4 linked regions of the Drosophila melanogaster genome follow. The protein of the gene in region 4 purifies or fractionates together with the protein of the main gene of each other region. This does not show direct contact. Each region holds a gene or a part of one and is shown on either strand. Other genes may lie near its edges.

Evidence for each region.
Region 1: the proteins of cert (region 4) and CG1513 purify together in Drosophila melanogaster (affinity purification with mass spectrometry, with the first as the bait; one large-scale study listed by BioGRID). This does not show direct contact.
Region 2: the proteins of cert (region 4) and CG1603 purify together in Drosophila melanogaster (affinity purification with mass spectrometry, with the first as the bait; one large-scale study listed by BioGRID). This does not show direct contact.
Region 3: the proteins of cert (region 4) and CG10494 purify together in Drosophila melanogaster (affinity purification with mass spectrometry, with the first as the bait; one large-scale study listed by BioGRID). This does not show direct contact.

What each region holds. Positions count from the first base shown.
Region 1 is NT_033778.4:9,888,669-9,893,218, forward strand, and holds the start of CG1513 (uncharacterized protein), read right to left. Parts: upstream 3,022-4,550; 5' UTR 2,735-3,021; coding exon 2,567-2,734; intron 2,474-2,566; exon of another isoform or gene 2,412-2,473; coding exon of another isoform or gene 2,077-2,411; intron 2,019-2,076; coding exon of another isoform or gene 1,772-2,018; intron 1,713-1,771; coding exon of another isoform or gene 1,619-1,712; intron 1,493-1,618; coding exon of another isoform or gene 1,384-1,492; intron 1,328-1,383; coding exon of another isoform or gene 1,312-1,327; exon of another isoform or gene 1,210-1,311; intron 1,068-1,209; coding exon 939-1,067; intron 818-938; exon of another isoform or gene 457-817; coding exon 220-456; exon of another isoform or gene 147-219; coding exon 69-146; exon of another isoform or gene 54-68; coding exon of another isoform or gene 1-53. Other genes in the region: CG12923 (uncharacterized protein), read left to right, coding at 1-53; CG30008 (uncharacterized protein), read left to right, coding at 1,312-1,327, 1,384-1,492, 1,619-1,712, 1,772-2,018, 2,077-2,411; tea (telomere ends associated), read left to right, coding at 3,441-3,865, 3,920-4,234, 4,288-4,550.
Region 2 is NT_033778.4:7,513,327-7,518,191, forward strand, and holds CG1603 (uncharacterized protein), read right to left. Parts: upstream 3,065-4,865; 5' UTR 2,939-3,064; coding exon 2,642-2,938; intron 2,581-2,641; coding exon 2,317-2,580; intron 2,257-2,316; coding exon 1,894-2,256; intron 1,838-1,893; coding exon 1,001-1,837; 3' UTR 520-1,000; downstream 1-519. Other genes in the region: CG1602 (uncharacterized protein), read right to left, coding at 3,688-4,641, 4,699-4,865. UniProt on the Drosophila melanogaster protein: Chromatin-binding protein involved in the organization of active promoters and insulators. Essential for the activity of heterochromatin promoters; primarily binds to specific motifs within promoters of housekeeping genes.
Region 3 is NT_033778.4:21,516,619-21,520,980, forward strand, and holds CG10494 (uncharacterized protein), read right to left. Parts: upstream 2,508-4,362; 5' UTR 2,388-2,507; coding exon 2,312-2,387; exon of another isoform or gene 2,308-2,311; intron 2,253-2,307; coding exon 1,839-2,252; intron 1,780-1,838; coding exon 1,363-1,779; intron 1,304-1,362; coding exon 639-1,303; 3' UTR 537-638; downstream 1-536. Other genes in the region: CG30288 (uncharacterized protein), read right to left, coding at 2,717-3,129, 3,197-3,363, 3,421-3,463, 3,526-3,751; CG30289 (uncharacterized protein), read right to left, coding at 3,993-4,362.
Region 4 is NT_037436.4:8,283,846-8,291,792, forward strand, and holds the start of cert (ceramide transfer protein), read right to left. Parts: upstream 6,026-7,947; 5' UTR 5,868-6,025; intron 5,639-5,867; 5' UTR 5,604-5,638; coding exon 5,325-5,603; intron 4,376-5,324; coding exon 3,983-4,375; intron 3,913-3,982; coding exon 3,764-3,912; intron 3,530-3,763; coding exon 3,469-3,529; intron 2,625-3,468; exon of another isoform or gene 2,348-2,624; coding exon of another isoform or gene 2,282-2,347; intron 449-2,281; coding exon 224-448; intron 160-223; coding exon 1-159. Other genes in the region: CG7201 (uncharacterized protein), read right to left, coding at 6,739-7,012, 7,069-7,480, 7,549-7,900.

The sequences.
Region 1 (4,550 bases), on a different chromosome or scaffold from region 4:
GTGACGAACTCCACCTGGAGGTTGTAGTTACTGAGTCCGAGGGAAACGTGTAACCTCTGCTTACTTACATTTGCGTTGTCCTGGAGTGCCTTGCACTTAGACTGCTCCGCCGGATCGGTCAGCTCCGCGATGCGTTTGTCCAGTAACTGGGCAGGACAGAGAACAAGAAAAAATGACAATAAATTGCATAATGCCTGCATTACGTGGCACAATACTCACGTTCGTTTGCTCAATCATCAGCTGGAGGTAGGCATCTGCCTCGGAAACACGGCGCGCCACCAACTCCAGGTGGTTGGGTCTTCTGCCGCCTGTTCCGCTCCCGCCCCCTTCCTTCGTGTAGCCACCGGCGATGTAGAAAGCGCTTTGGCTGTCCCACAGACGCGACCGGTTCGCGTGGCGTCGAATGGTGTCCTCCAGGCGGCGCACCCACTGCTCCCGCTCCTCGTTGTGTCGCGCCTGCAAGCGTTTGGAAAGTTGGCAAGTTTAGTGGGCTCCTTTGCTTGTGTATGGGTATTGGAAAAAGTTTTATCGTTACATCAAGGCAACAAAGTCAAACAAAAGGTGGAACGTGAGGACCAGACAGTGGTTTCTGGGTCGATGCCCGGATACCCTTTTCCGGTAAGAGGACGAAAACTCTTGGCAAGCAAAGCGGATAGGCCATCATGCTTGCTTTATATCTTTTGGGACGAAAACGCGAATTGCAAAAAGAAACGTGCTGCCCTCTTGATCTACATAGTTTTTGCTTACGTATACCACTAGACGTCATAAAAAATCAATGCAAGTGTGGAATTTAAAATGAGTTGGTTCTTCAGTTCATAAAACAAACAACGTCGTACTTAAACTATTACGGTGAATTATGAACTATTAGTGAAACTGCAAAACATTGATCAAGCTTTCCTTAGACAATCTTTATTTCCATTTACTAAGGAGACACTTACCTGAAAGTGGAAGGTCTTATGGTCCACAGTGATTGTGAATGTGTTGTCCTCCTGGTCGTCGATTCCGATTAGCGCATCCTTTAAACGAACACAACCGCGCCTCACGCCCTTTATCATCTTATCCTTCGACTGTAACAGAAATGCAGTCGGAATTAGGAAAGTTCATTAAATCGCAGCTCATACTGTCAAAGGGCTATTACGCCTGCTATAAATTAATGTATTCTAATCAATGCTTGGGGAATATAAAAACAGTGTTCGGCGTGCTGTTCACGCTTAAATGTTCGCCAGCGGTCAAGGCGGTAGAGCTGCAGTCCACCAGTCCCACGCCACCTAAAGGATACAGGCCAGCGGAAGCTCAACACAAAGAAGCGAAATGGAGGCGTCAGCAAGTGAGCTCCTCTTGGATTTGTCAAAAAACTGTCTGATGGTTTCAATAAAATTGTAGGTATAAATTTGCAGCCGGTGGTGAACGTTCCTACGATTTATAAGGATCCCTGGTACATGATCACAGTGCTGGTCCTCTATCTGTACTTCGTCACCAAAGCGGGTCCGCAGTAAGTTCACATGCTAATGTCAGCGTCGCTTGTTTGCATGTGGGTCAGTGGACTTGACATTAGCAATTCAGCGGGTTCGCTGGCTTACTTATATAAGAAAGAAGACCTTTAATACCTCGCTTATAGTTTCATGGAATGGCGCAAACCTTACGAGCTCAAGCGACTTATCTTGCTACATAATTTCATCCAGGTGGTTTCCTGCATATATGCTATCAAAGAGGTGGATATTTATAAATTGTACAGCAGCAGCAGCATCGGCTAATTGCTTTTCTCTCGCAGGTCCTGTACATTACGGACAACACCATATACATCTTTTGGAAGTGCCGCGACATCGGGAGCAGCCCAGAGCTCGTGAGGCGGTACTACAACTTGGCCTACTTTCTCTTCTGGCTGAAGATCTCTGAGCTGATTGAAACCGTGATCTTTGTGCTTCGCAAGAAACAAAACCAGGTGTCCAAGCTGCACATCTTTCATCACTTCTCCACGGTAACGCTGGTCTACGCACTGATCAACTTCAACGAAAATGGTAAGCTAGCCGGCTGCTGGGTGACCGACTATTTTCATAAATGCGTTCAATTGTACAGGTTCTGCTGCTTACTTCTGCGTGTTCTTGAATTCTATCGTTCACGTTATCATGTACTCGTACTACTTTGTGGCGGCAGTGGCGGATAAGACCTTGGTGCAGGCCCTAACTCCAGTGAAGAAGTGCATCACAGTGATTCAGATGACGCAGTTCGTTCTTATCCTCACGCAGGTTGCTTTCCAGCTGGTATTGTGCGGCATGCCGCCCTTAGTGCTTCTCTACTTCACCACCGTCATTCTTGGCATGTTCTACGGCTTTTACGACTTCTATAATAGTGCCTATCAAGCCTCGCAGCGGCGCAAGAGTCAGACCCCTCAGTCAGACTCAAAAAAGTAATCTCCTGTCAACAAATCACGCAATAAAGGGGTACCAACAAGTGTGTATGTGTATCCAAATGTATCTATAGCAGATAAGATAAGGCTGCGGGCCATGAGGAGTTCGTTCTGGGTGCGATATGGGTTTCAGTCAGGAGGTGCACTGCAGCCACTCACCGTGTAATAGGACAGCAGTCCAGCATTCTCGTCCAGAACGAAGAAGCGGTACTGCCAGCCCTTCATCACATTCGTCCACTTGCTTAGCGTGCCCTCCAATGTGCCAGAGCCACCACTCCCGCTCTGGGGGGGTCCCAGGCTGGGGGCACTTCCAGTGGTGCTGGCCATTTGATCCAGCTCCCGTGACACGGCCACCGCCTCCTCCTCCGCCTTTGATCCCTCTGCGTCCTCGTGGCTAAAGGCTTTCCTTGTCCCCGGGCGCGGACCTGCCTCGTTCCCTGAGCTCTTTTCTGTCCAGGAGCTGATGATGACGCAATGTTGCTTCACAACTCGCACCCGCAATCTGTCACAGCCTCAACTCCGCTTGGAATTTGCAAAACAAAGCAAAGCCCTGCCAACTATCGATGTACGTAAACATCGATGATTTTCTAGCCCTCCGAATCGCAGCTCGAGTGTGACCGTGCGGCGACCGCTGGAATATACCACCTACTATACCTAGCACACCTTACAAATTTGGAGTCATTTGGAAAATCATAACATGTAAAATTAGCTAGCTATGAAATTATAACCCTGTTTAAATCAGCACAATAAATAAATAAACAATAAACAATAAAGCACAAAAGTATTAACTGGCTTGTAAAATTTTAAGTAAGTTCGAGTTCTCGTAGTGAAAATATTTAGTCGTTCGCTATCGATAAATATTGTCATTTTGCAGCACAGTCACACTGTGATATTCAGCCTAGTTTATTTCGCGGTATTGAAATGTGATGTTTATGATAAACAACAAATAACGTTACTTGCATAGAACAAGTCGTAAGGTTACTGTGAATCTTTTACATCTTAACATTAAATATTGTTTGATTTCAGGAGCAACATGTATCCAGTGTCCTTTGCGGCATTTCAAAAGTTAATCGTTAATTTGTCTGAAATTGCAAGTGAGTTGAAAACTGCCAATGGAGACAATAGAACGTTGGTCGAGTGGAGCAGATGGTACTACAAAGAGTTCTACCGGAATCCCAGCATACGGGCAAGGTTCCCTGTCAAGGTGGCGCCGTGTCCCAGGCGGACACGCGACAACTTGCTTAAAGTACCGGAGCCAGGAGGAATTTCACAAAACGATGTTGCAAACGTAGCAGCTGCAGGACCATCTCAAGTAGAGCAACCCGAAGTCTTAGTTGAAGGCAGCCAGTTGACGACGCTCGCTGAAACCGCGAAGTCCCATGATGCAGTTGAAGGCGTTGCAGTTGAATGTAAACCATCAGGATCGGAATCTCCAGACGTAATTGTTAATGTGGAGAGGTGGGTAATATTATTTTCGAGCAGAGCAGATTAACCAATTTTGACTCATTTCAGATGTGGCGCCTTCATCTTTCCGGTATCCTTTGATGTATTCCTACAGTGCATCAATAAGATGTTACTGTTCAAAAAAATTGTCAGGAGCATAGAACACTGCCTGGTCCTCTTGTCCGACGATGAGCGTCGTCTTCTTACACTACAAAGGTTCTACAACCGCTTTTACATGTATCCAGAAAAGCGATCCCCTACGAATATCTTCAATGCAACTACAGAAATCCCTTTGGAAAAGTTGCTTGAATCTGGGAAACCACTGGACAAAAAAGCGGTCAAGACTGTGGCGGAGCTTACTGCAATGAAATCCCTTACGAAAAAGTAAGTTTGGGACACTTTCCAAATACTCGTTGTTTACTATAAATATTTCACAGTTCCATCGTCAGCTTCGAGGTATTTAAGAAAAATATGGCAAACTTATCGGACATTGTGGAGCAAATGAGGCAACTGGATGCTAATTATGCGAGCAAGGATGTCCAGGAATGTGCCCTTGACTATTACCTGGCGTTTTACATTACTCCGAGGATCCGATATAAATACGCATACAAATTAAAACCTTGCACGTCGACTTTCAAGGCCTGCATGCTGTCCATTCTCGGCAAAGATATTGCCGAAAAGCTTAGGAAAAGCCTCCCTC
Region 2 (4,865 bases), on a different chromosome or scaffold from region 4:
TCACTCCGCACGCGTAAAATGGAGAGCGTAAATTTCTTAAAATAGAATGTACTTCCTTGTGTGTGTTAAAACAACAAACGAGAAAGTGTATATGAGCATACTTGTGCTAGAAAACTTTCGTCTCGAAATCAATTTTGATCTCAGAAACGAAGGTACATACATACATATTTAAAGTTTTGGTCAAAGCTTGTTGCAATACGATCTACTACAGAGTTATTTAAAATTTAATGCCTTGACTATTCTTTTAAGAAGAGTTGTTATTAATTAAATACCGCTTATTTATTTTTGCTTATAATTAAAAATATTTAAAATTGCACTGACGACATACTTCAACAAGGGTCTATGAGCAGTATCTTGTACCGTATAAAAATTATTTTCATCATTATTTAAGCTAATAAACTAAATAAAGTCTTAAATCGTTATTATAACTATTGTAATTAAAAATATAAATTTGGCAAAAAGGAAAATACATTTAAAAAAATATATTTCATAAAAGAAATATAAATACATTGTTAAAAATGAATATATATAAAATTTTGTACACGTCATTTGATCAAAAATAATAATAATAGAGCTGCTAGCTCTAGAGCTCTCCGCTCTCTGACTTTTGAACAAAAACTCGGGAGAGCCTCAAGCCAGCTCTAGATCTAGAGCCAGAACCAAAAAATCATATGTTATTCTAATATCTCCTCTACAAGTAACGGTTATACAAATTTATCTTAAAACGAACTTATTTTTCCGGCTTCTTCTTTTTTTTATGAATAATACATTCCTTAAACCAAATTTTGAAAAGGAAAGTATGAAAAAGGAAAAGCTTGTGCATATGATTATCATACACATGTTCTTATCAAATACACAAAAGCCGTAAGTGCTTAACAACACGCTTGTTATTATCACTACTCTAACGTAAGTTTATTCTTGATTTACATCAAATGAAGCTTACTGATTCTCGTTATCAAAAAATAAAGCAGTTTCTAAAAATGTCCCTCAAGGCGAGAGTTCATTCCGATCTGTGGCTGCGGCGATGTCTGGAAAGCGAAGAATGGTCATAGAACGTAGCATCACAGTACTCGCACTTCTTATCACGGATATTCAGATGTCCTTTGATATGGTTGGCCAGCTCGAACTTCTTGCGGAAGGTTTTGGTGCACATATTGCAGCTGTAGGGTCTAATGTTCAGGTGAACTCCGTTGACGTGGTGGTCCAGGAGTAGCTTGAGCCGGAATGTCTTGCCGCAGATGTCACAGACGTGAGGCCGCTCGCCCGTGTGGATTAGTGTGTGCACCTTTAGGTCGGTATCCACGGCGAACGATTTTTCGCAGTACTGGCACTTCAACTTGCGTTCGAAGTGGGAACGCAGCTTGTGACGGTCCATGTCTACGTGGCGGTCGAAGCGCCTCGGGCAGAACGAGCAGAGGTACGGTAGGTCGCCCACCTCGTGCGCCTTGACGATGTGCACCCGTAGGTTGTAGTCGCCGTGGAAACGTTTATCGCAGTAGTCACAGTACAGCACCTGACTTTCGGAACCCTTGGCGGGCAAGAAGCTGCACATTTGCAGATACTGAACCTCTTGCTTGCTGCACTTCTGAATTAGTTCCTTGGATTTGAGGCGACGAATGGCATCGTAAAGCCAACGGCGCAGCTTGTTGACCGCAATGTAAACGTCCGTTTCGTTGGCCTTCACCACTGGCTGGAATTCCTTTGCCATTCTTTTGAAGGCATCTGCACGTATCTCTATTGAGCCAAAGTCTGGCAACGCTTGATTATACAGCACGGGATAGTTGGCATAGGTCTCTATGAATGAGGTGGTTATCAGGTTTTCCTCCTTAAAATTAAGCTGAAAAAAGGATTTTTGGTCAGAAAAGAGCTACATTATAGTGGGCTAGTTATTACCTTAATTGCAGTCAAGTCGTTGTCCTCCTCGTTCTCCCTTGGCGTTACAACAGGCGCCACACTGAGGAACTCGCACTTGGCAAAGTAACGCGCTGCAAGTCCAACAAGCTTTCCCCTTTGTTTTGTCTCCAAAGCCAGCGTGTACTGCACGTGCAGTTGCTCGAGCGTTTTCTTCAGTTCTTCCACGGTGAAGAGAACATTGGCCTTGCGGTCCATGCGTTCCATTATCGCCTCGTAGGCCATGCTTCGTGCAGGCTCGTCCTGGTAGTGTTCATCGGAAGGGTTCCACAGGCAGGGATGCTCTTTGTACGCTTGGATCAAATGCAGCACACGGGGATTGCTCCGAATAAACGAAACTTTGAACTGAATGACGCCGTTAAGTGGAATGAATTTCAGCTTAAGTGAAATATACTACGTACTAACCTTGAAAACCTGTCCTGGTCTTGTTCGCCTGGGCGGACGTCCAGGTTTTCTAGGAGGTGCCAAGTCATCCTCAGACATAAAGAAGTCACTACAATCAACATCATCATCGTCTGTGTTTAGGGGTATGTGATTTTGGGAAGACTCGTCCATTTGTGTGACTTCCTTTCCGGCTGGAAGTTCCAAAGAGCTGCCGCCTGGACCGAACTCCCAGGAATTGTTTGTAGCTGCAGACCAAGCGGTGGCGTCTTCCTCGTACTGGATATCCTGCGGTCAACGAGAGCTCACTTATTTGACCACCCTTGGTAAGCGAGTGAAAGAGTCTTACCTTGCTATCAGCTTCCATCCATTGATCGACCCCATTGCTGTTTTCGATCACCTCGAAGAACTCATCCGGCCCATAGGCGATGGCTGGGTCCGCCGCGTCAACGACGCTGTATAGCTCCTCGGTATCCTCTTTGATTTCATTAATCCTAACGTCCTCGTCTTCGCAGTAGTGCGCCGATTTCACATGGACGATGAACAGCTCCCAATCCTTCAGCTCGCTCTCTATGCTGCAGTAGAGGCATTTCAGCCGGAACATCTCGTACTTGGAGTTGGTCATCACATTGCCGCACAGCTCCATGCTTACGTTGTGCGCTCTGATCTGACTTCAGCTTGAAAAATGTTCCTTTTCTGAAAATATATTCGTTTATTTAAGGTAACAATTTTTTTATGCGTTTGGGACTGTGTTGGACAACGACTGAAATAATTATGTATCGATAGACTATTCGATAAAAATCTATTTTTAAAATAATATTTAAACACAATTTTATGAAGGCTTAAAAGAAAACGTTTTAACAACTGTTGGTGGTGCTTAAAAATGATTAAAAATCTGCATTTCATGAATGAATCTTTAAAGTAACTAGTACATTTCAATTTTCGAAAAAAAATGTTATAAAATTCTAGTACTAACCATTTGGAAAAATCAAAATCAATCAAGCTTATTTGTTGAGAAATTATATTTTTTTTGTCATATCGATAGAAAATAGCGAGACAAATATGAACAGGAAAACACCAAAACGTTTTTCAAATGTATGGGCGTTACAGTTGTCGGCGCCTTGTGGGCGTGCCAACATTTTGGAAAAAATAGCGCAGCGTAGGCAGGGGAATGTGTTTAGGCTTTTAGATGTACATCCCCAGATTTCGACAGATGGACATGGCCAGATAATGTAGAATTTATATTCTTAATTATTAATATACATTCTTAAACCGTTATATAAATAAATTTGTTTAAACATATTGTTTCACTCTCATTTGTGTATTTTTATTTCCCCCCATTTGCAAAAGATTGCCTATTTATAAACTGTCATTTTATTGCAAATTTAATCAAATTCAGTTCTCTGCATCCACAGCATCTTTACCCTTTTGTGAATTATTACGAAGAATGTTGTGGGTGCGCTTCATGTGCGTATTAAGACCCACAAACTGGGAGAACCTGGAGTCGCAGAGTTTGCACACAAACTTCTTCACCTCGGAGTGAATCTGCCGGTGTCGGATGAGTGCATGGCAGCTGGTGAATCCCTTACCGCACACACTGCAGATTTTGTCGCGGATGTTTAAATGGCCCTTGATGTGATCCGATAAGTCGACCTTTTTCACAAAGTCTTTGGGACACATGGTGCACTTGAAGGCTCTGATCTTCGTGTGAATAGCCGTGACGTGGAGCGTCATTTGGGACCGCAGTCGGAAGGCCTTGCCGCAATGCTCGCAGACGTAAGGCTTGTGGCCAGTGTGCGTACGGATGTGCAGCTGCAGGTCCGACATCACAGCGAATGAACGCTCACAATGGGTGCACTTGTGGGTCTTGCCGATATGGACCCGCTGTATGTGATTAGCCAGCTCGCAACGTCCCACAAAACTTCGGTCGCACAAGGTGCATTTGAAGGGCAGCTCGCCGATGTTGTGCGCCTTGAAGATGTGCGACTGCAGGACATGATCCGAGGACGTAATCTGGTGGCAAAATTCGCAGACCAGCCGCTGCTTGTACATCTTTGCAGGCATGAACCGACACACCTCTAGGTAGAACTTCTCGGCTGTACTTCCGGCATAAATGGCATGCTTAGTGTTCTTGTAGTACCATTGGCGGAGATTCTGGATGGCGCGGAATATGTCATCGCTGTTGATGTCCACATTGGGCACTGAGATTTCCGCAGCCATGCTCTCGTATGCCTGTTTTCGAGAGCTCATATTGGAGAACTCCTTGTGGTTGGAGTCGTATAGCTGCGGAAAGTTTGCGTACATCTCTATCAGGTCGGTAGTCAGCTTGTTTTTCTTGGAGAAATCAAGCTGCGGGCAAAGTATGCTTGTTAACAATTTCAATTTGAATTAATTCAAATATCTTGCCTTAATTTTTTCGTTATTCGTAGCCCCTTCTTCATCGTTGCTAGCGTTCAAGAAGCAACACAATTTGTATATACTGAAAGCCAGCGATTGAGGTTTCTGTTTTCCAGACACCACCCGCTTGTGCACGGTGTTGAACTGCATGTGGACTTTCTTGATGGCCAGCTTTA
Region 3 (4,362 bases), on a different chromosome or scaffold from region 4:
TGGTTTTCGAGATGCGGAGAGATATTTGTAATTTACACTTTGTGCCTGAGCGTAACGTAACGAACATACACGTATATATATCAAGCCAGATCGGTTCAGATCAGCAACAGCAGTTTAGTTTTCTATGCCCAATTGATTACATTGTTTTTTTTTTTGGAGTGCAACACATATTTTATGACGAGCTTGCTTAGTTGTTGTAAACCGAACAATATACAAAATATATACATATGTGTATACAGATGACACAAGCAGAACAAAAACTAAAAACTAACGAGCATTTTCGCTTAATGTTAAAACCTAAAACGAATCCAACTGTTAACTTAATCCCAAAAAATAACAATGTAGCATATCAAATAAAAAACGAAAAATCTCTCAAAATTACGTATATACTTATACAAAACCCTAGATAAATCGTAGACAATTGCGAATTGCGAGTAACTTCAAACCAACATTCTGTTCACAATGAATGAGGAATAAATTCTAGACACAGGACACTGTCACAAAAACAGGATACACACACACACACGATATTGAATATAGAATACATACATATAATATATATAAATAATGACAACTTTTTGCAATAACTTCGAATTCAATTCAATAAAAGTTTTAGAAGCTTGAGTTCTATGTTTCCATTACTTCGGTTGCAGCATTTCGCTGATCCTGCGCAGGGTCTCCTCTCGATCTCGATGCATCAGTTCCGATACTTGTTCCAAAAATTGATGCTGCTGCTCGCGTTGCTGCCGCAAGAAGCTTTCGTTGGTAGTTTTGATCTGCGCAAGCAGCTGCTTTTGACCTTCTATGATTGCAGTGAGTGCTTCAATCGGCGTTGGTTCAGCCTCCATCTCGATGGCGTCCACGTAGTCCTCGCTATCGGCTGCCGCTCTTAGGAGATCGCAGGTGGAGCTGGAGTTGTCGCTGTCACTTTCCAGCGGAACGCTTGGTTTGCCTGGCGGCTTGAGAAAGGAAGGCTTGCTGATGCGAATGAGCCTGCTGATGGCACTTTCTCTGTTCTCCCGCGGCGCCTGAATCAGTTCATCGAAAAGCTCAAAGTGGCGAGGCAGAATGCGTACATTATCTAGCCCGTGCTCCTTGGCCTCTCGATGACGCTTGCAGAGCAGCCTTAGTTTATTGCGCAGCTGGTGTGGCGTGCGTTTGATGTCCTGCTTAGCCAGGATGTTGGAAATGTGCACCAGGGTCTGGAAGTTGCGCTTCCTTGAGCCATCCAAGGCGCGAAAGAAACCATTGTCCCGAATGATGAGTAGAAACGAATCAACCTCTTCGTCTGTCCAAAAGTGCGCTAAGGAACATAGGAATTTAATTAAATATGGAATAGGAACTAGCTATTATAATATCTACCTCCGCTTCTCTGTGATGCATCACCCTCTTCCTCGTCACTGTCATTGAAATCACTATCGCTTGCGCTGCTCAGATGGGCTTCCGCTTCAGCATCTGCGGCCGCCTCCTCTTCGGTGGGATCCAGGACCAGTCGCATCGCCTCAAAATGCTCGAACGTTTTCCCCGTGCCGTTCTTGACCTTGTTGTACAATCGCCGCAGCTGCTGGAACTTGATGCGCAGCTTCTCAGCACCCTTGTGGCAGTTGCGTTTTGCCATCTCCTTGGACAGCAGCTTGAAGACCTTGGCATTGCGCTTTTGCAGCAAAGCTGCTCGCAGTCCAAGTGTGTGGATCAGGTCTAGGAGGAGGTCCACTTCGCCCTCTGCCCACTTGCAGCGGGCGACGATGTTAACTGAAGATCCTGAGGCATCCAAAGCATCTGCGAAGGAAAGTCGCCTAAGTTCGTATTCCAATACATTCCTGCCCGGTGGCACCTACCGTCCCCTTCGGTTTCTGAGATCATGCCGGACTGGTCCTCGTCGGCCTCCATATCGCTGTCACTCTCTAGCGCCTCTTCATCCAGATCAGATACATCTTCTCCCTGCATCAACTCGTGCACCGCCTCAAAGTGCTCGAATGGTTCGCCGCCATTCCGAGCTCTCGCATACTGACGCCGCATCTGATGGAACTTGACTCTCAGATGCTTTGGACTCTTGGGGCAGTTCCGCCGGGCCATTTCTCTGGACACCATACGAAACACCTTTGCATTGCTTCGCGGCCTTCGAAGAGCAGCTTGCAGTTTAAGTTGGTGAATGATTTCCAGAAAGGTCTCCACCTTTGCGCTGGTCCACTTGCAGCGACTCGCTTTCCCAGAACTATTTTCCGACACCGAGTGACTCGCATTTCCCAGATCTGTTACGAAAAGTAAGGATTTGGTAACATCGAACCGGCTGAGGACGCTGCTTACCCACTCATAAGGTGTGCGTATTTCTGCTCCGTTTCGTGCTCGTCCTCATCGTTGCCATTGAAGAGCGAGAACTTGCTCATTTTCAAATGGTTATGCTTAAATCGCGCAATGAAATCAATAAATATATATTTATATTTGATCGGTTTTTTTTTAGCTTGATCAAATCATAACAATAACAAAACTGTCATCGATAGTAGGACGCGTTAAGCTACCTATCGTTATCGGCATCGATGCGGCCGTACCATACATTCTGCTCGAATGTATGTTTCATGTAAGGAATATGTATGTTAAATGTAGAAATAGCCTACAATCTGAAAAAAAAAACCAAAACCAACAAGAAACTATGATATTGATAGCCAAAATATATACGCTAAAACATTATATTGTTATTAAGCAACATATTTTGATCTCATTCAAAGTCGTCTGAATGGTTTTGAATAACATCCAATATCCAGTCCGTAAAGTGTGTGACATTGGTGTAAATTCCCAAGCCACTGCACAACCGAAGTCCTTGGCTAGCGACACCGAACTGGAAGACCCTTCCCTGCCCCTCAAATGTACGAATTGCGCTCAAAGGACCTCCCGAATCGCCTTTGCACGAATCACTGATATAACTGCCGGCACATATATAGGATATATCGAGAGGTCTTCCAGGTCTTTCACAACTCCATTGAGGTAATTGTTGCAGGGTGGCAGTCTGTAGCCTATCTTGCTCTTCTCCATCACTATTTGTACCCCATCCGGTGAAATTGAAGCGTAATATTGAGAGTGGGTTCCCACCCAACGTTTTGCCCAGAATCAAGCAGATTGGTCTGACATAGTCTATGGCGAACTTTAGTTAGTTACATATTTAGTTCCCAAGAAACTTTTGATAGCGAAATGCACTTACTTGAGAATATCACACTCCTTTGCATTCGCAACAGACCAATATCATATCCTGGATTACTATGAACAATTTTCCTATCCACGTCCACATTGTAGGCCCTTGGTGTGCAGACAAAATCATCGCAGTCGAATATGGGATGTCGGGTATCGTATTCGCCCAGGCGCACATTCCTTAAAAAAGGTCATTTTGAGGATCAAATGTGTAGTAATAGTATGGTATGCACTCACATATACATTGGGGAAATGCAATGCTCGGCGGTCAAAACAAATCCTAAATGAACATACAATGATAATTTGAGTATATATTTCTTATTATCAATTCCAAATACTTACGAGCAGTTATAAGTGAACCGCCACACACTGCTTTTCCCGAAATCATTACTCTGACCATCCAGGGATTCGATTCCATGCCAGCATCTCTACCTCCATCGATTCGCGCTCTATAACCATTACTGCTCGTGGTTCCACAGTCGTTTTCCAGTAAGCGTCCGGATTCCGTCCGGATAATCCCAATAAAAAGACAGGCTACTATCACAAGCTGCCGTATAGGTAGACGCATCTTGTTCAGAGACTAAATTCGAATGGCATCGGTTTCTATTTTTATGCTTGTTCTTCGGCAAACGGCAGAGATAAGAAGTGATTTATTCAGAAAAAATACTAATACAATTTTTACAATCGATTTGAATGTGACATCGTTTATTTTCAATTAATGACAAGATTTTTTTTTTTTAATTAAATCTCTTGAACTTTAATATATTTCGAACTTCGATGCGTTGCCCTGCCATTTTGTCGAATATTAATTAATTTTCATATACAATTCTGTTATACATTAGTTCTATATTCCTTATTATGTCTGTTATGTTACAAGTTTGGCCTACGAGCTTGGATAACCAAAAGGTAGTATGACCTGTAGGTTTGAATTGAACCATTTTATTAAATATCCATTCCCTGTGGTACGATACATTGGTGTAAACACCTGCCACATTAGCCGCGCACCTTTCGGATCCGTAGCTGACCAAGCCGTACTGGAAACTCAGAAGCCTGTTGCCATAATGAAATTTCGAGCTCAATGGGCCTCCAGAATCGCCCTTACAGGTGTTACTGGTATGACTGCCAGCACATATCTGCGATCGATCAGCCTGTTTGTTGAACTTAATGTTACAGTATGAT
Region 4 (7,947 bases):
ATGATAGGCCTTCAAGGGATCCATGACCAGCCCGTTGACCTCCTCCTCGCGTTTGTACATTTTGATCTCCCCCTCGTCGGCAAAGATTTGCCAGCCGTTGCCGTCTTGGCCAACGCCCTCGCGTGCGTAATGCAGTTGCTCCTTGCACACGCGATCGATCTGCGGGATAAATCCAATTATTGGCTGGTCGTTAGGGGGCCAGATTGGCAATTTCCGGTCTTACCTCCGGCCACAGGGCATGGCTGGTGGCCTCCGCACCCGTGCCGAACTCCTCGCGCGCCTCCTCGCCCTCGGCCACCGCCTCGTGTGGAACGTTGACCAGTGTCTGGGAGATCTGGGACTGCAGCTTAAGCTTGAAGCGCAGCTGCATGTCCTCCTCGATTTTGTCCAGGCCCGTTTCGACCGCATCGAAGAACTCATCCTCGGGCAATGTGGAATGTGGACCCTCCTGCGAAATTGAAAGGGAAATGTCATATTATACATATATCTCCATTAGCATCGAGCAAACTAAGTCAAGTTTAGCCCAAAAGCATCTTTGAAGGTTCGGCCTAATTAATTTTAATGACGAAACCGCATTCAATCCAATTGGAAAGAAATGGAACGTGCTTTGTATAAATTAATCGCCGACACTTGTGCGGCCAAATGGCCCAAGAAAATCAAATTTATGCTGTTGTTTTTTCGCCCATTCCATACCCTGACCAGTCGCCAGGCGGAGATTCTCGTAGTCGGCTGGCATGCGTAATTGGGCGAGCATAATGGACACAAAGGCGCATCATTGTGCCATGAATACGAAAGCAGAAGACCGCCAGACGGGGCTTGGTACTTGGTACTGAATCCCATTAAAGCAGTGGCATCTCGTGGGGAAAAACCACCAATAAGCTACACAATAATACTGCCGAAATTTAATTAAGTTGATAAATTTGCCATTTATAAAATTCTTTTCCTCCTAACAATGTGTTTCGAATTTCGCAACAGAGTTTACCAAATTGCTACTGTAATATACAAACAAAATCATAATATTTTGAGAGTATTTAGAATATTATGCTGAAATTAGGATTGATATATAGGAAAAGTGTCCCTTGAAGTTCGGCCCTTTAGAGGTATACATCCGCTCCATTCTGTGCTAGCCAGTGTTCACTGTACACATTCTGACGTCTGCGACTGGCGCGTGTATCCCCAGAACGGCAACCGGCGCAAAATAAATGCCTCGAATGGAATTTGTGCGGAATTGAATTGATATTTATTAATTAAAGCAGAGATGTGCGCAGCCAAAGGCGGTGAAATAAATACACCCTGCGGCGTGAATTCGAGTGCATAATCATCTTGACCAAGCGGCACTCGCAGCTAACCAACAATGAAGACATGGGCTATATGCGTACTTATTCCTGTGGCGTCGCTATGTCTCCTCTTACCAGGCTCCTCCACCAATTGTTGCAGTTGAACCCAACAAAAGCGAAGAGGTTTTTGGGCGGCAAAAATTAGGCTCCTTCTCAGCAGGAAAAAATCAGGAATCGCACCGCAAGAGAGCCAAAGAGAGAGAGAGAAAGGGTTGCGTGGCAGGCGAAAGCAGGAAAAGTGAGCGCACTTGTGTCCTGGCGAATCCTTCCGTCGAGCACAAGGACACAAAACAAACTGTTGCTGGTGGCCCAAACGCACTGGCCAACTTGGCCAGGATGAGCGGAGCAGAGAGAAGGCCAAAAAAAGAGAGCAGGAGAAAGCGGGCGACTGAGAGTAAAAAGCGAAAAGCGCACAGAGCAAAAAGCTCCAATGGATAGGATTTCTTGCATTTAAATAATAAATCAATTCTTGGGGTTCTTTGGCCACCGCACTTCAAACATTCAACATTCAAAAGCGAGTGGGGTGGCCCACTAATGAGGCCAATTTGGTTAGAAAAAACCAACATCAACATTTTATGAAACTTATTTTAGGCAACATTTCATACACTAAGGAAAAATACCATTATTTTATCAAAGCAATGCTTCCGAACTAATACTTTTATCATAATAAAAAAATATTTGACATTCCACATTCATAGCTGATTAGAAATTTTTCAAAAACACAACGATGTTTGTTAATATTTTTTATCAGCTATATATGCACATAGAAAAAAAATTCAAAATTACTAAAAGTGTTATCAAATTTTATTTGGAGATATATTGAAACGTTTATTGTTTATAAAAGTGATAATACGCCTTGAAATATTTCCATACGAAACACATATTATAAAAATATATTCCACCACTCCTTTATGTAAATTATTTATGATTTTAATTCAGTGTACCTTTATTTTTTTAACGCTGCCCTTCTGAAATCCGCCGGAGCGCCACAGAAATCGCGCCGAGGGCATAGCGTTGACGTTGTTTATAATTTTATAAATTTGTATATTTGTACAGTGATGCGTGCGGCGCTTTTATATTTGCAACATGAACTAGCGATTGCTACAATTGTGTACACTTGTTTATTTATTATAGCTCTTTCAATGCAACGCAAGAAATTTCACAATCTGCACACTCAATTAAATGCCACGACCAATATGAAAAAGAAACAGTCTCGTTTTGAATTGTTTGCCTAGCAAATTTGTTTATAATTGCTACGTGTTGGCCACTCGATCGCTAACCGCCGACTGACCAGCCTAGCTCATAAGCCATAAACCTGACAGCTGTAAGCCAGGCTAAAAGCCACAGCTCAAAAAGTGAGCCGCATATTGAATGCTCTAAGCTTGAACGTATAGTGAAAGATCACGTACATGTTTACTATATATTGTTCACTTAAATCGGGATTTTCTAACAAAATTTTCATATGAAGATCACTGAAGACGTAATAGTTAATATACCCGTTGCACAAAGTGCATTCTAGCCAACGGTTGGATCGTTATTCAACGTCAATATCTGCAATATTGGCTCGAAGTAGATCTTAAGCTACGCCCAACTGTCAAACAGGCCTAATGAAACCGTCTAGACGCCCAGTCTTTCAGCCTGAGTAGTCGCCAAGTAACCGAGCCAAGAATAACAACCAAGTTGAGCACTTACAATTCGTAGGAGAGCATCATTTTTCTAATGCTATTGTGGACATATGCCATTAAAATGGAATTGATTGGGCAAACAAATGTAAGCGGAAAAACGATATTGCATGACCAATTCCAGATTAACACGAACACGGGAACTTCGTGTCAGCCAAAATTCGGAACCAAATACTGGCATTCCATAATCGAATTGAAAACGCTTGAATAATAGTCCAGCGTGTTCTACTTTCCTTGCATATGATGAAATCTCTGACACAACGTCGAATCAGGCAGTTTATTTTAAGACGCCGACAAATCGCACGCAAATCGTTTATACGAATTTCGCGCCACTCATTCGGCGATTGTTTGCATTTTCAGTGGGAACGTGTTTGGCCCCGATTTGAGCAGCAATGACCGTGAATGCGATTACGCTTTTGCTTTTACGAGAGCTGTAAACTTGAACTCACCTCGAAATCTGGGCCAGGATACGATAGACGCTTCATTTTCTCAACTTCATCCTTGAGCTTTCTGCAAAGAAGAAACATAGAATTTTACCATAGTTTTAATATCGTTTAAATGAATAAACTTCAGAAATGAATGTACACATTAAATTTAAATACATTATTAATCCTTTTTTAAATAAATTAAACCATGAAATAGCATGATAATTTTTAAAGAAACGTATGGTTTTCAAGCAAATACAAAAAAGGTAATTGAAATTGCTTCTTCTTGTAGGAATCTATTCCGACTAGGTCAACCTACTTGCTTTGGTCCTCAGAACGTCGACGCTTATCTATTTCACGCTCCAGTTTCCGTTTCCATGACTCATCGCTCTCGGCGATGATTTCTAGGCAATGCTGCAGGGTGGTTAGCACGCCGGACGTTGTGGCCCGAAACGTGATGGATTCGCCCTGAGAAAATCGAGTGTTTTGCTTAGTACACTGTACATATACCAATGGCCCGATAAGTGCACTACTTTACCTTGAAATCGATGGACTTCAGACCGTCGCCCAGGTCCAGTGGTTGCGCATTGTTTTTGTTCACCTCCGAGCAGGCATCAAAGTATCGCTGCAGAGTCTCGATCTGTCCAAATAGTATATCCTTAAAGGTCTCCAGCTCGCCGACTTTTTCGCGCAGGTTGCGCTGCGTCTTCTTTAGGCTTCCTCCGCTGGTCAGCGAGATAGTGTTCGATTGCAGGCTCATGGTACTGCCATGGCGGCGCAAGGAAGTGGTGTCCGTGCTGCCGGAGTCCGCCTTGTACAGCTGCAGCACATCCACCCAGTGCATGCGGTCCTCGCTGGTCTCTGCCCGCAGGCACCAGTTATTTAAGTTGTTCACCACAACATCGAATCGGAGCTCGTCGGACTCATGGGCCTACAAAAGAAAAATAAACTTGAACTTAGTAAAAGGCACAAAATAGGTACAAATAAACGGTTTATCTTACTTATATTTTAAATGAAAATTTCATGCCAGTAATAAGCCAGTTATTAAAACGAAATACAATAAATTCGACGAAAAAAAAACCTAATTAACTTTGAATGGTTGATTATAGCGGAACGCAAATCAGTGGTAAACATGAAATCAACAAGGAAAACACCCGAATACAAGATTATTGTTGGCAAATGGAAATTACAGTGGAACCTGAATGAGTCAAAACACTAAGAGAAATTTGTGAAAATTAATTAAAATTTTAAATGAATCACTTGCAAATAAATCCAATTATTAGTAACTTAAACTACAAGTGAGCTGGTTTCACTGTAAAGTAATCCAAGTAATCCAATCATGATCGATTAAATCGGTGATAATTATTATTTGGATTGTTGGGAAAAATTCTTTGAACTAAATGAGGCTTCAATATCTTTGAATAAGATCAGTGTTCGCAAAGTCAAGGCGAATGAATGGAAGGGCCGCTTCTAGTGAGTCAGCATTGTGTATATGCTTTTGGCAGCTCCTACAGTATAAATAGATAAGTACACACTCATGGCGAAACACCCTCCTAGAACAACACGCCCTCCTGTCAACAGAAGGCCTTCTAGCAGCGCCTAGGTCTGAGGGGTACCCCACTTACATTGATGACTTCAATTTTGGTCTATTTTGGTCGCCCAACGTTAATTGATTGCGCTGCATTGATTGCGTCGCTCGGAATTGGATTGGGAATGGGTGTATTGGCTTGGGAATGGAAACGGAGACCTCAGGTCGCGGTCATCGTTGGTTAATGTGTCGCAAACACATGCGCACACACTCACGCCCATTACTTTTTTATTAGTCCAATTGAAAGCACTTGGGGAAGGAGCTCCACCCTCTCTCTTTTCGGCCGTCCTACCTTAATGGTGGCCTTGGTCAGGCTGATGGCTCCGCGGCACCCGAAATCCGACTCCGATTCGGATTTATAGTAGGAGAGTGTACCATCCTTCAGGACTATGTAGCGTGGCTGCCATCCATAGATGTAGTTCGTCCACTTGCTGAGATAGCCCCTCAGTTCGATACTGTTGTCCAGATACTCCTCCTCCTCGGAGGCATCGCTCTGGGACTGTGATCCCGCCGCTGCCTCATTGCTCGAGGGCGGCGATGCTCCCAGCGACTCCCCAGCGTTCGTGTCCATCCTCTTCCAGCTCCGGAGTTCAACTGCCAAGTTATCTATACAATGAAACGGTTCGGGGGTATCTTAATCAGCAGGTTGCCGCAGAAGATTAAAAATATATTGCGCCACGTCCGCGCAATGTAAACAACTACAATGCCGGCTGGCAATTTGATGGGAGCTCCTATCGTGATAATCCAATTCAATCAGCGATCGCATCGCCTGACTCACAGCACCGCCTTTTCGCGGTTCTGAAGCGCCAGCTGGCCCCCACCCAGGAGCACTCACCTTTCGTTTATTGATTTCCTCGACGATCCGCAAACATCTGTGCAACACGTAATGCTCTGGCTTGTTTGTGGGAGGCTTGGTAAATAAGCGAAGAGAACTCACGACGCTGATGTTTTTTTCGCTGCAAAACCAAAACAAAGCTGACCTAGAGATGGTCTGACGACCGACGGTTCCTTCGATAAGTCGTTACGCTATCGATGTCTTACTCTCGATAGTTGTCAGAAGTGCCTTTTTCTTCTTCTTATAAATACACAAAATTTGAATTTAAATCTTCCCTTTAAAATGAGCAATTAGTTAAGTAATTACATAACTACAAACCGAGCACTAAGTACCGTTAAGTATTATTTTGCTTCATATATTACTTTCACAAAAACATGGAGAGTACCCAAATCTAGCTGCCAGTGTAACCACTTTAATTTGGTTTCAAACTTTGATTTGTAACTGCTGATAGTGCTGTGCAATGCAGGCAGTTGTCGTTTTTGGCGCCAGTTTAAATCTAAAAACGCAATGTTGTACATATCTTGGCCATTATTGCCGTAAGTTGTTATTTGAATGAAAACAATTATAAAGCACCTTTCAAGGGAAATTTATTTTCTATTCATTCGACACGTTTTCATTTGTTGAAAGGAAGGAATTATGCCACAATTTCAATTATTTACAGACCACTAGACAAACATGGATACAAATCTAAGCAATTAACAACGCCTACGACTAACAATAAATACAATGCGTAAATAAAATAAATAATTATAAATTAATTAGTACACGTTAATTACAAGCAAGTGACTTTGAGGACGCGCTCAACTCAATCGTAATCCTAACATCTAGACGAGGTCAACAATAGGGGTTCGCATGGGAGTTGGTCATTGTTCTACATATACACATTGTTGTCCTGATCCCGAGTGGTGGGCAGTTGAATGACCTGCTCCTCATGATATTCGCCCACCGGTCTGTCTGTGGGTTTTGTCTTTTTCGTCTTGCTCGCAGGAGCTGGTTTGCTATACTTGCTGGACAAGGCCTTAAATATACTCTTCGGACAGTCCTTGAAGTAGGGAAAACATTCTCCTGGTGCTTGCTTTCCCTCGCCCACCTCCTGGGCTTGTACATAGTCGGGTACCAGGTCGGAAAACGGAGATTTGGTTACCCTATAAGAGAGATCTGTGTAACAAAGAATCACGATTGAAAGGAGGAAATTACTCACGTTAAAAATAGCTTTGTCATTTCTCCAAAGACACCGAACTTCTCCAAACTTCGTGAGTGCATCTCACAAATGGTTCTCAGCAAACAGGCCTTGCCATCCATGCCAAAGGTGGATAGAAAGTCCTCCACTACGCCATAGAGCAAAACCCGCTCTCCGCCATGGAAAATATGCTGCAGTCCGGCTGGCAGCTCCGGATACTTTGGACCCTCTTCGTGTATCCTAAAGGGATGATCCTCGTTGCTTCTGCTCCGCTGCTCGCTGAGATCCCTCTTCCTGCGCTGGACATGCAGATACCTCGCCACATATTCACCAACCATGTGGCCTGCCTCGTGACCAAAGGAGCGGGCGAACAGCGGCGGCAGATCCCCCAGAGGATTTTGGTTGTCTGTCAGGCCCAGTTTGTCGAAGTCAACTGTGGATTGAGGCAACAAAAATCAGAGTTAATTGATTAATCATTGACATTGAGAGCTGTCTACGCACTGGTGACGGGAAAACTGATGGTCAGGTTGGAGAAGAATCCCTCGGGCGGATGCCGAACCAGGGGCATGGCAATGGTTGGCACGAATGTCAGCGAAGTGCCCGGCGGCAGGGCCAATCTGCCATCATCCGTAATCCAGATGAGTCGCTTCTTGCGTATGTGCGGCGTATCCGGGGAATCGGCATCGTAATCCGGCCTGGCTTCGGCTTCCGCATCCGCCAGCTGCGCTGCCATATCCAAAGCCTGGCCAGCATCCGCCTGTCGATTGAGTGCCAATGCATTTGGACACAAGCTGACAAGTGGCAGCAGCAGTAGGAGGAGCAGGCGACTGCATCGCCTTAACACCTTCTCCATGGTCACGTTGAGTGATGAGTGCTGAGATGGTAATAAAAAATTGTTAT